Diceros bicornis minor: one gene and its partner. The protein of the gene in region 2 interacts with the protein of the main gene of each other region in a pairwise test. Links are inferred from orthologs where the notes say so. Each region holds a gene or a part of one and is shown on either strand. Other genes may lie near its edges.

What was found.
Region 1: the proteins of CPSF7 (region 2) and SNRNP25 interact in binary tests that used the Homo sapiens proteins (3 or more experiments, as listed by UniProt). The two-hybrid records come from large-scale screens. The link is inferred for Diceros bicornis minor from reciprocal best matches to the Homo sapiens genes CPSF7 and SNRNP25.

Annotation. Positions count from the first base shown.
Region 1 is NC_080765.1:48,217,350-48,220,949, forward strand, and holds the start of SNRNP25 (U11/U12 small nuclear ribonucleoprotein 25 kDa protein), read right to left. Parts: upstream 2,659-3,600; 5' UTR 2,506-2,658; coding exon 2,464-2,505; intron 1,650-2,463; coding exon 1,559-1,649; intron 1,324-1,558; coding exon 1,218-1,323; intron 697-1,217; coding exon 622-696; intron 147-621; coding exon 89-146; 3' UTR 1-88. Other genes in the region: POLR3K (DNA-directed RNA polymerase III subunit RPC10), read left to right, coding at 2,871-2,981.
Region 2 is NC_080770.1:11,869,492-11,876,694, reverse strand, and holds the start of CPSF7 (cleavage and polyadenylation specificity factor subunit 7), read right to left. Parts: upstream 4,580-7,203; intron 4,545-4,579; 5' UTR 4,490-4,544; coding exon 4,436-4,489; intron 1-4,435. Other genes in the region: proline-rich protein 2-like, read left to right, coding at 4,580-5,374.

The DNA.
Region 1 (3,600 bases), on a different chromosome or scaffold from region 2:
TCTGTGAGAAAGGGACAGTGGCTCCAGACTTCTTCCTGCTGGGGAAGAGCTCAGCCACCAGCACACAGAGTCGTCCTTGTCTGGAGGTTCACTTTTGCCTCAGCTTTTTGATGAAGGACACCTCATCCCGATTCCGGATACCATAACTGAAAGAGAAGAAAAGCTGTCAGCTGTCTGATCCACAGAGGGGACGTTTGTGACCCCTCCCCTGAAGCCTGTGAGGGACCAAGAAAGAAGAGGTGGGAAGCATGTGGCATCCAGGAAGGCAAGGAGGTGGTAGTGGCTGTCCTTCCACAGACCCACACTGTACCAGCGGGCAGCCTTTCAACTCCATGGACACCCTTATCTCCCTCCTGCTGGCTCTGCAGCCCTGAACCGCCACTGTGAGAAGCCGAGGCCCCTCACCCCTGCTCTCCCTCTCCTTCTGCTGGCAGGGAGGCCCCGGAAGCTCCCTGCAGGAGGGTGTCAGTCCAGCCAGGGACTCTCCTTGTCTCACACACTCCCCAGGGACTGATTTATGATCCCTCCTTCCTGAGGGGCCCAGGCTTCTGGCCGAGCATGTGGAACTACAGGCAACAGTCCAGATGCCTCCCTGCAGCTCAGGATGTGGCCTGAACTCACTCTCGGAGCTTCTTCCTGTCCTCTGTGAGCTTCTCTCCTGCAGAGATCAGATGGTACGTCCTCCACACGTAGGACCTGCAAGATGGGGACTCAGGTAAGCCGTGAGCAGGGTGAGCTGGACAGCTGGGAGGCCAAAGCTGTGTGTGAGAAAGCCTCCAGGCGCTCGGCTCTGTAGGGACCAGGGCAGCCACAAGGGGGCACTGCTCTCAAAACGCTGTGTGGGGTGCCTGGCAGCCAAACATTCTGCTAATGAAACGGGAGGACTGACAGCACCCAGGTGAGGAGGGGTGGGGCTGCTGACAGCTGCACCATCCACAGCTAGGGAGACCACTTCCAAACACACTGGAAACGCCCCAGGTGTCCCCAAGTGAAGACCCACCCAGCTGCCTGTGCAGTGTGATATGGATGAGGAGCATCTGAGGCAGGACTCCCAGGCCCAGGAGCACCCACCCGCCCAACGGCTCGGGGGGAGCCCATCGCTCCAGTTGGTACACTGTAGTAGAGCCAGGTGGTTAAGAGCGCACATCCGGCAGGTGTGCATGTGGAGGCCCACATCAGCCCCCAGGAGGGCTGCAGGGACCCGCTGCTCCACTCACCAGCTGATGTGCTGAATGCCTCCTTCACGCTCCTGCCTGAGCTGCACGTATCTCTGGATGGCCTTCTTCAGATCCAGCACCGTGGCGTTCTGTACGACAACCACGGCTGCAACCGGGGGACACAAACGGGAAAAGATCCACAGTGGGAACACAGCTACAGCCTCAGATGACAGGAGAGGACTCAGAGGCCCGACTAAGGCTGAAATCCGGGCAGGGTGGGCTTGCGGCTGCTCCAACACCCCCCGGGCATGGCCCTTGCGTTTCCCACTGAGCAGCCCTGCTAACCTCTTGCCCCTGTGAAGCTCAGACGGCGCTGCCCGGAGGGAGGGGGCGGCACTTACGCATGACTTCTCCGTCCATCTTGCACACTCGGACTGTCATTGCTTGGCCGTACTCCAGTGCTATCTGGGAACTGACCTCTTCCAGAGTAACCTGGAAAAGACCAAGGGTGGATGGGGGAGCCCTGGCTCTCTACCGCCCCGAACAACAACCAAGAAAAACAAGCTGACAGTGTCCAAAAAGTGGGGCCACGCTTTACAAATACAAGAAAGGGACAAGGTTCTTACACGTTTCCCCACTTGTCACTCCACTCTCATGTTCCATCCACACTTTCTGTTTAATGCCTAAAGTGGACAGAGGCTCGGGAGGACGCAGCATAGACACAGACCAGGGGAACGAACCAACGTGAGGATCCACCCCGGGATCCTCTACCCAGAGGCTGGACAGTCCAGTATGAGAGCCCTGGATCGCCAGGATCCAGGCCAGGGCCTCGGGACAAGGCTGAGGCAGGTGTGCAGAATTTACCGGGGCGCCAAAAACATGGTAACGATAAACATTTCAGTGCAACTTTCAAGGAAATAGAAGTTAACTTAAAAACCCCATGATGGGCAAAGTGACAAAGACTTAAACGCAGGACGGTGCCAAACCATATTGAAACTTGAGAAGAGAAACCAGTAATACTGGTCTGGTTTTCATTTACAATTTTATTACTTTGTTTACCATCGGCTTTCCTACACTACCTTTGAGTTTTAAAAATGTCGTAGTAAAACATCCCGTCACCTGACCCCATGTATACCGGGTTTTTGGCGCCCCTCTGAATTCTCGCTCGCCCCACCCTGGGCCCGGCCCGGGTTAAGACCCCCCGCTGACGCCCAGAGGCGCCTTCCTGAGGCCTCCGCGCCGCAGCCCCAGCGGCACGTCGGGGGGCTGTCCACGCCCCGCCGCCCGCCCCCCGGCCCGCGCGCACCTGGATCGGGAGGTCGCAGAGCAGCGGGTCCTGCACCACCATGGCAAGACCCTCCTGGAACACGTCCACCGCCTCGGAGTGCGGCAGCGCCTCCTCTTCGTCCTCATCTTCCTCCGGCCCCGCCGCCGCCACCTCCTCCTCCAGGGCGCCCCGCCGCCGCCGCACCCGCCCGCACCGCGGGTCAGCGCGACGGAGGGGCGCGCGCGGGGACCGCAACCACAGCCCAGCCCGCAGCGTCCAGGGACCAGGCGGCCTGCCGCAGTGCTCGCTGGGAGCGCGAAATCGGCGCGTCCATTGGCGGGCCGAGGGGCGGGGCGGCCGCCAGGACCAATGAGAGCTCGAGGCGGGCCTGCGTCGGCGGGGCGCGGCGCGGGCGTCTGCTGGGAGCCGGCGGCTGGGCAGCCGCCATGCTGCTCTTCTGCCCGGGTTGCGGGAACGGGCTGATCGTGGAGGAGGGGCAGCGCTGTCACCGCTTCGCCTGCAATACCTGCCCCTACGTGCACAACGTCACCCGCAAGGTGCGCCCGCCGGCGTCCCCTGCGTCCTCCCTGCTCGCCCCGGGGTACCGTCGGGACCTCCCCCGGGCTCCCCGCGCTGTGTCCGCGGCAACGGCCGCAGTGACCTTGTGACCGTGAGTCGGATCAGGGCCGTCCTGTGCTCCGAGACCCGCGGCGGGTGCCCAGCGCGCCGGGGGGAAAGCTGAGGTTCTCCCGGGACCCCCAGCCTGCTCCTCTGATTTCGCGTCCTAATGCGTCCTCTTGACCCCCAGCGCCGCACGGAGGATCCCCCTCGTGCACGGGCACCGCCGTCAGGGCCTTTGCGCGTGTTTTCTGCCCCGTTCACCCTTCCCCGTGTCTTTAGTTAAATGATTACTTAAAATTGCAATCTCTCTCCGTATTTTATCCTCCTTCCCTGTTTTGTTTTTGCCATAGGCGTCATTGCGTTGTAATATAGTTTATATTTATGGGCGTTGTTTATTAATACTGGGACATAAACGGTAGGAAGGCAGGATTTTTCTGTCTCGTTTCCTCATGTTTTAGTCTGAACAATAGAATGGGACCTAGAATGTTCAGGACGAATGAAGCACAGTGTATTATTTATGCTTGTTATTTTCACTTGACAGTACACCTTTTTAGA
Region 2 (7,203 bases):
AACACAAAAATTACCACTGATAATTGGGTAGCGAACTAACATGCAGATTTGGAAAACTCAGAAATCAAATGTATCACCAGGAAATCCCCCATACTGTAAGACCAGGCAAACAATCTACTCTTTCAGGGTCCCTCAGAGAACATGAGAGACTCAATCCTGGAAGAAGACCCTGGTATATGGATTACCTTACCATTTTAAGAAACACAAAAGGATTCAATGAAGGCAAAACTGTCACAAGATTGAGATGGTCTCTCTGGACCATAGAGCCTCAGTTCAAAGTTGGTGGGAAGTGTTCTGATGCAGGGGGCAGGCCCATTGAGGATTTTATTGAAGAAACAACGTAAGTTGTGTTTGGATTTAAATTTGCTAGCAACACCAATCCATTTTACTTCTTCAGCTCGGAAAACAGAAAAACCGATAAGGGCCTAAGGTTTTTCAGAAAACCAAATGAGTTGGTGATTTATGCAGTGACCGATTAGGGTAACACAAAACCTAATTCTACAAACTAAGTGAAAAATACAACGTTTCACATGCGTTGATGTTGAAGGTTTCATTCCAGGGAGATTAAAAAGTAAGTATGTACCTAATACTGAATGAGTATCTCAGAAGAATTTTGTGTTTAATAGCATAGGAAGAACTGTGATTGTCTTATGAAGCTTCTTGGTTAACAAGAGTACTAGCAGGATTTTGAATTTACATAAGAACCTCCCCACCGGTATGCTCAAGGTTCCTACCTCCAGCCCCCTTTTCCTGATAGTTGAGGGAATAAAGCCTAGAATTTATTTTTCTCAAAGCAATCTACTTGATACCACTGTTTCTTTTTTTTTGTATGTGAGGAAGATTAGCCCTGAGCTAACATCCCTTGCCAATCCTCCTCTTTTTGCTGAGGAAGACTGGCCCTGGGCCAACATTCGTGCCCCTCTTCCTCTACCTGATATGGGACACTGCCACAGCATGGCTTGATGAGCAGCGCATAGGTCCGTGCCCAGGATCCAAACCTGCCTACGCTGGGCCACGGAAGTGGAGTATGCAAACCTAACCACTATGCCACCGGGCCGGCCCCCCCATCGTTTCTTTTAATTGTAACCAAAGCTCAAAGTTTTTGGCTTCATAATTACTGTTCTCATGTCACACCCTCCTTCCCTGTCACTGACCATTGCCCTCAACCACTGGGAACAGAAACTCTTTTGAGCACAGGCATCTATTTTTTTCTTCCTTTCACTTCACTAGTCTCAACACAGGGCCTAGCAAACACAAGTAACTTAATAAATGCTTGTTGCTGGAAGTAAGGAAGAGAACTGGGCCTACTGTGCAAAGCACCTGTCTCAGCACAAGGAACAGAGACAAAACATGCAGCAGAGCGGCAGCTCAGTTGCTTTTCCAGAGTTCTTCTCCCCAGCCCAAGAGAGCAACTGTAAATCCCAAGACTCCCGATATAACAGGAGTAAAGGAGCTCCGCTACAGAAGCTTTTGTGGCACAGGTTGTGAGATCAGGGAGTCAGCATCATAGGGTTCCATCTACAAACTGTGGTCATTTTCCACAAGCAAAGTACATGCGATGGGGTTCTTGCGCACAAGTCAGCTTGGGGCCAAGCAGTAAAATTCTTAAAACACTCTAAAACACAATCTGTACTGGCTGCCCTCAGTCTAAGCCTGCTCCTAACAATCCTAACCAGACAGAGTTTTTATCATTTATCAGCCTCCAAATTACACTAAAACCAGCTTTGCCAAAAATTAACTCATTTATGCAGAACAAAGTACCCCCCCCAACCTTCCATTAAGACTTAAGATATTCAAAAACTACAATTTCTTCAACTTGCCAAGCATCAAGTATTGTCAGTTTGGTATAAATGTTTACTACATTCCACACACTATCTTCAGCCTACTGTAGACCCATAAAAATAGTCCTTTTTAACTAGAGACCAGAGAGCAAATTGTTGAGGTCAATGACTTCTACCCTGACAAAGCAGTGACCATTGGACAAGTCCTGTGTCTCATCTATGACCTACAAGTTATATTGCTTAAGAAATTATGAAATCTCATTTTCTCAGACCAAATGTGGCTAGACTTGTGGTCAAGGCCTCCGTCCTGCCCATTTCCCAAAGTGAATCAGCAGCATTGTTATCAACCCACAGATAAGGAAATTAAGGGGTAAAAAAAGGCTTTTCATTAATAATAGAGAAGAACAAGGGACCCGCCTTCTTTATTTGCTATCTTAATGTTAAAAAATAACCATAACCCATAAATTGTAAAAAATAGTAAAAGTCTGATTCAAAGCAATATGCAAAACTCAGGAAAGCGATGGTCTGTAACTAAATTAATATACTAATCTTTCTCCTTCATTTTTGGTGAGGAAGATTGTCCCTGAGCCAACATCTGTTGCCAATCTTACTCTTTTTGCTTGAGGAAGACTGTCCCTAACATCTGCACCAATCTTCCTCTACTTTTTGTATGTGGGTCACTGCCACAGCATGGCTTGACAAGCAGTGCAGAGGTCCACACCCAGGATCTGAACCCATGAACCCAGGGCCACCGAAGCTGATTATGCGTCCCAGCCACTACACCACTGGGCCAGACCCACTAAACCTTTCTTTTTATCCATAAATAATTATTTGGCTTCTCTGAAACTAAAAAAAAATTTTCATGTATTTAAGTCCATCAGCAGCCACATGTAGATGACTCCAGTTTACCTGAGAAGACACGGGAAAATGGCTATTACAAAGTATAACTGCTGAGTATAATGGACACAAGGTCATTACATCACTCTACTTTTGTGTGGGTTTTATAATCTCCATGTTAAAAAAGCATAATACAGGGGCCAGTCCCGTGGCTTAGCAGTTAAGTGCACGCGCTCCACTACTGGCGGCCCGGGTTCGGATCCCGGGCGTGCACCGACGCACCGCTTGTCCGGCCATGCTGAGGCCGCGTCCCCACATACAGCAACTAGCAGGATGTGCAACTACAACATACAACTATCTACTGGGGCTTTGCAGAGAATAAGGGAAAAAAACGAGGAAGACTGGCAACAGATGTTAGCTCAGGGCCGGTCTTCCTCAGCAAGAGGAGGAGGATTGGCGTGGATGTTAGCTCAGGGCTGATCTTCCTCTCTCACACACACACACAAAAGAAAACAAAGAAAAAAAAAAGCATAATATATTAAAAAAAAATTTTTTATGTAAACTTATGCCAAGTGAAAAAAATGGCATGTATCGACCTCTTCTGTTGCCTCATATCAAAGTCAGGGTCCAACCAGGGCACTTGCCTTCTCTAGCCTGTTCTCTGTATCCTCTTACCAGGTCCTCATGTGTACCCATTGACAGATACCAACGGGAAGAACCAGCTTACTCAAGTAGAATGGTGCTGAAAACAATCCAGGTAGATATTAGTAAGTTTTAAATAGAAACTTCGGAACATTTTTGAGATCTGACCTCAAGAGCTCAGAACTGAACATGAGATTATTGTTTCAAAGGAAAATTCCGTATGTTCCTTGATATAACATAAAGAGCCCAACAGATCCAACTTACGGTATATGAGTGAGTCTATACCTGCTTTTTTGTGTGTGTGAGGAAGATAGCCCTGACCTAACATCTGTTGCCAATCCTCCTCTTTTTGCTGAGGAAGACTGGCCCTGGGCTAACATCCATGCCCATCTTCCTCCACTGTATATAGGATGCCGCCACAGCATGGCTTGACAAGCAGTGCGTCTGTGCGCACCTGGGATCCAAACCTGTGAACCCTGGGCCGCCACAGCATAGCGCCGGCACTTAACTGCTACGGTACCAGGCCGCCCCAGTCTGTACCTGCTTTTTATGTGGTTTGTCCAACACCTTTACCCCCACCTCAAAAACTCAGACTCAGCAATAAAATTTATTACACCAAAATGCCTATGGACTTCCCAAGAGTGGACTCAAGGTACTTTCAGGAGGAAGCAAGACATAAAACAATCGGAATGGAGCTGAAATTAAATGTTCAAGTATCTTTTACACTGTTCCTTTCCACTGCCTTACGGGGGAGGGGACTACATTTCTCCAGCTGCAGTCTGAGAATAGCAAAGGAACAGGTATCACTATGCCCTTGTGAATATGATACCAAACATAACAGATTTTTTAGTGTAGTTCGTCTTGGAGGAGACTGACGTCGAATTTTGGCTTCCTGGAGGAGCAAGTTCCACGGGTTGACTCACCACTCTGTTAAACCTGATTTGTATTGGCTCTTAAAACCTTTAAAATTAAGCCTGGAGACTTAAATTAACATAAAGCGGAATGGTCCGAAATCTTCCAAGTCTGTGCTAAAGAGAAAATTTTAGACCCAATAGAGGCGAGTTCAGGCCTAGTAAATCCTCAAGGACTGGCACAGCTTGGAACCACTGCAAGTTTGCTGGAAGTGATTCCTCAGCTGATCGAAGAAAATCCCAGGGCTCCCGACGACCCCTCACCTGATTGAACTCCTCGTCGGCGTATATATCAATCAAGTCCACTCCTTCTGACATGGCTCCGGAAGGAAGATCGCGAGGCCGGAGAAGGGACAAAGTAAGAAAGATGCCACTGCGGTACCCAGAAAGAGGCAAGCGTTAGGAGGCATGAGGGTCCCGGCCGGGGAGGAGGGCAATGGTTGCCAGCCTCCCGTCTCCAGAGACGCAGCATCCTGGCAGCCCAAGCTCGGCCCCACCCGCTCCGCCCCGCCCCCGGCCTCGCGCCGCCCCTCGCTCTCCCAGGCCGCCGGGGCTCGCGGGGCTCGCTGCCCATCACCCTCGGGCCCGACCCGAGTTGCGCCGCAGCTGCCCCCGGCCCGACGAGCAAGTCCAGGCCGCAGCTCCTCGGGGCCCGCGAACGGCGCTGCGAAGAACCGCCGCGGCGAGGCCCGCAGCCCCAGCCCGCCGCACCTGCCTAGGCCCCAAGGCGGCCCCGGCTACAGTCCCCGCGGGTCCCGGAGCTCCAGCCGCCCCCGCTCCCCACCCGGGCCCAGCCCTCGCCCCCGGCTAGGCCCGCCCCGCTCCCTCCCCACACACCCGGCCCGGCGCCCTCGGCCCCCTCCCTCAAAGGCCCGCGCTCCCTCCGCCCGCCGACTCAGGCCGCCCCGAACTCAACCGACCCCCTCCCCGCCTCAGCGCCGGCCCCGAGCCCTCTTCCGGCCCAGCCGGCCCCCGGCCGCGCGCCCCCGTTACCGGGAATATGGCGGCGGCGGCGGCGAGTCCAGACTAGGCCCGAAGCGCGCGAACCGCTCTCGGCCCCAGGTGCCGCCCCCCCCCCCCCCGCCGCCGGCGTCACACGCACGGCCACTTCCGCCATACGCAGGGACACATCTTCCGGCTCAGGGCCTCTGCGCCGAAGTCGGCGGGGCGGGCGTCCCGGGGTTGCCGGAAGTGGCTGGGTAGCCGGTTTCCGGTGCGGGTCGGGAAGAATGTTGGTGGTCTCCGTGTTCCCCGTTCTGGCGCGGGTGAGGAGCTTGGAGTTTCTCCTGGGGTCCTGGGTGGGCCACAGTGGGGACTGAGTGTCGTCTTCCACCGCAGTCATGGAGAGGATCCTGATAGCCAAGGGCAAGGGCGCACTCAAGGAGAGGTCGAGCCTGCCATTTAGGAGGTTCAGGTCACTTCCACCCGTTTCTCAGCCCACTGTGTGCCTGTCTCGTGGAATCGAACAATCAGTCTTGCAACGAGACCCAATTTAGATTTCACCTATTGCCCAGGTCTCTCTGTTCTTAAGTCTCTCTGTTTTTGTCTTCTCTGATACCTATTATAATTTCACATCCTATCATAAGATCTTTCTTTTTTTTTAACATAGGCGTTTACCACTGTAAACTTTCTTAGTACTGCTTTTTGCTGCATCTCGTAATCTTTTGTATGTTGTGTTATCGTTTGTCTCAAGATATTTTCTAATTTCCCTTTTAATTTCTTCTTTGACCCACTTGAACTGTTGCTTGTTCAAGAATGAGTGTGTTGTTCGGTTGTTACAGATCTGTGAATTTTCCAGTTTTCCTTCTGCTGTTGATTTCTGGTTTCATTCCTTTGTGGTCAGAAAATAGAGTTTGTATAATTTCAATCTTTAATTTAAGACTTTTGTAATCTAATATGTGATCTCTCCTGGAGAATGTTTCCAGTGTGCTTGAGAAGAATGTGTATTCTGCTGCTGTTGGGTGGAATGTTCTGTATATGTCTGATTGGTCCATTTGATCTATAGTATTGTTCAAGTTCTCTGTTTCCTTATTGATCTTCTGTCTGGATGTTCTATCCATTATTGAAAGTGGAGTATTGAAATCGCCTACTGTTACTGTGTTGCTGTCTATTTCTCCCTTCAGTTTGTCCTGATTCTTTCTTCTGCTTGATCAAGTCTGCTGTTTGTTTCATATATTTTGGTGCTCTGATATCGGTTGCATATATATTTATAATTGTATCTTTCTGGTGAATTGGCACTTTTATCATTATAGAAATCTCTTGTGACAGTTTTTGACTTAGTTTATTTTGTCTGATATCTGTAGAGCCGTGTGTGTTCTCTTTTGGTTACAATTTGCCTGGAATATCTTTTTTCATCCTTTCACGTTCAGCCTGTGTGTATTCTTACATCTAAAGTGAGTCTCCTGTAACAGCATATAGTTGGATCTTGTGGGTTTTTTTAAGCCATTCAGCCACTCTGTCTTATGATTGGGGAGTTTAATACATTTAAATTTGAAATAATTACTGATAGGGAAGGACTTATTATTGCTATTTTGTTCATTGTTTTCTATCTTGTAGCTTTCGTGTCCCTCTTTTCCTCTCTTGCTGTCACCCTTTGTTTCATTGATTTTTTTTTGATTCCTTTCTAATTTTCTATTGTGTATCTTCTGTTTTCTTTGTGATTGTCATGGGCCTTACATAAAACATCTTATAATAATCTTTTTTAAGCTGATAACAATTTAACTTCAATCTCATTCAAAAACTCTGCTCTTTGGGCCGGCCCGGTGGCTTACCGGTTAAGTGCGCACACTCTGCTGCTGGCGGCCTGGGTTCAGATCCCGGGTACGCACCGACGCACAGCTTCTCCGGCCATGCTGAGGCTGCATCCCACATACAGCAACTAGAGGGATGTGCAGCTATGACATACAACTATCTACTGGGGCTTTGGGGGGAAAATAAATAAATGAATAAAATCTTTAAAAAAAAAAACTGCTCTTTTACTCCTCCCCACTTTATGTCATTGATGCCACAATTACATATTTTTATGTTGTGTA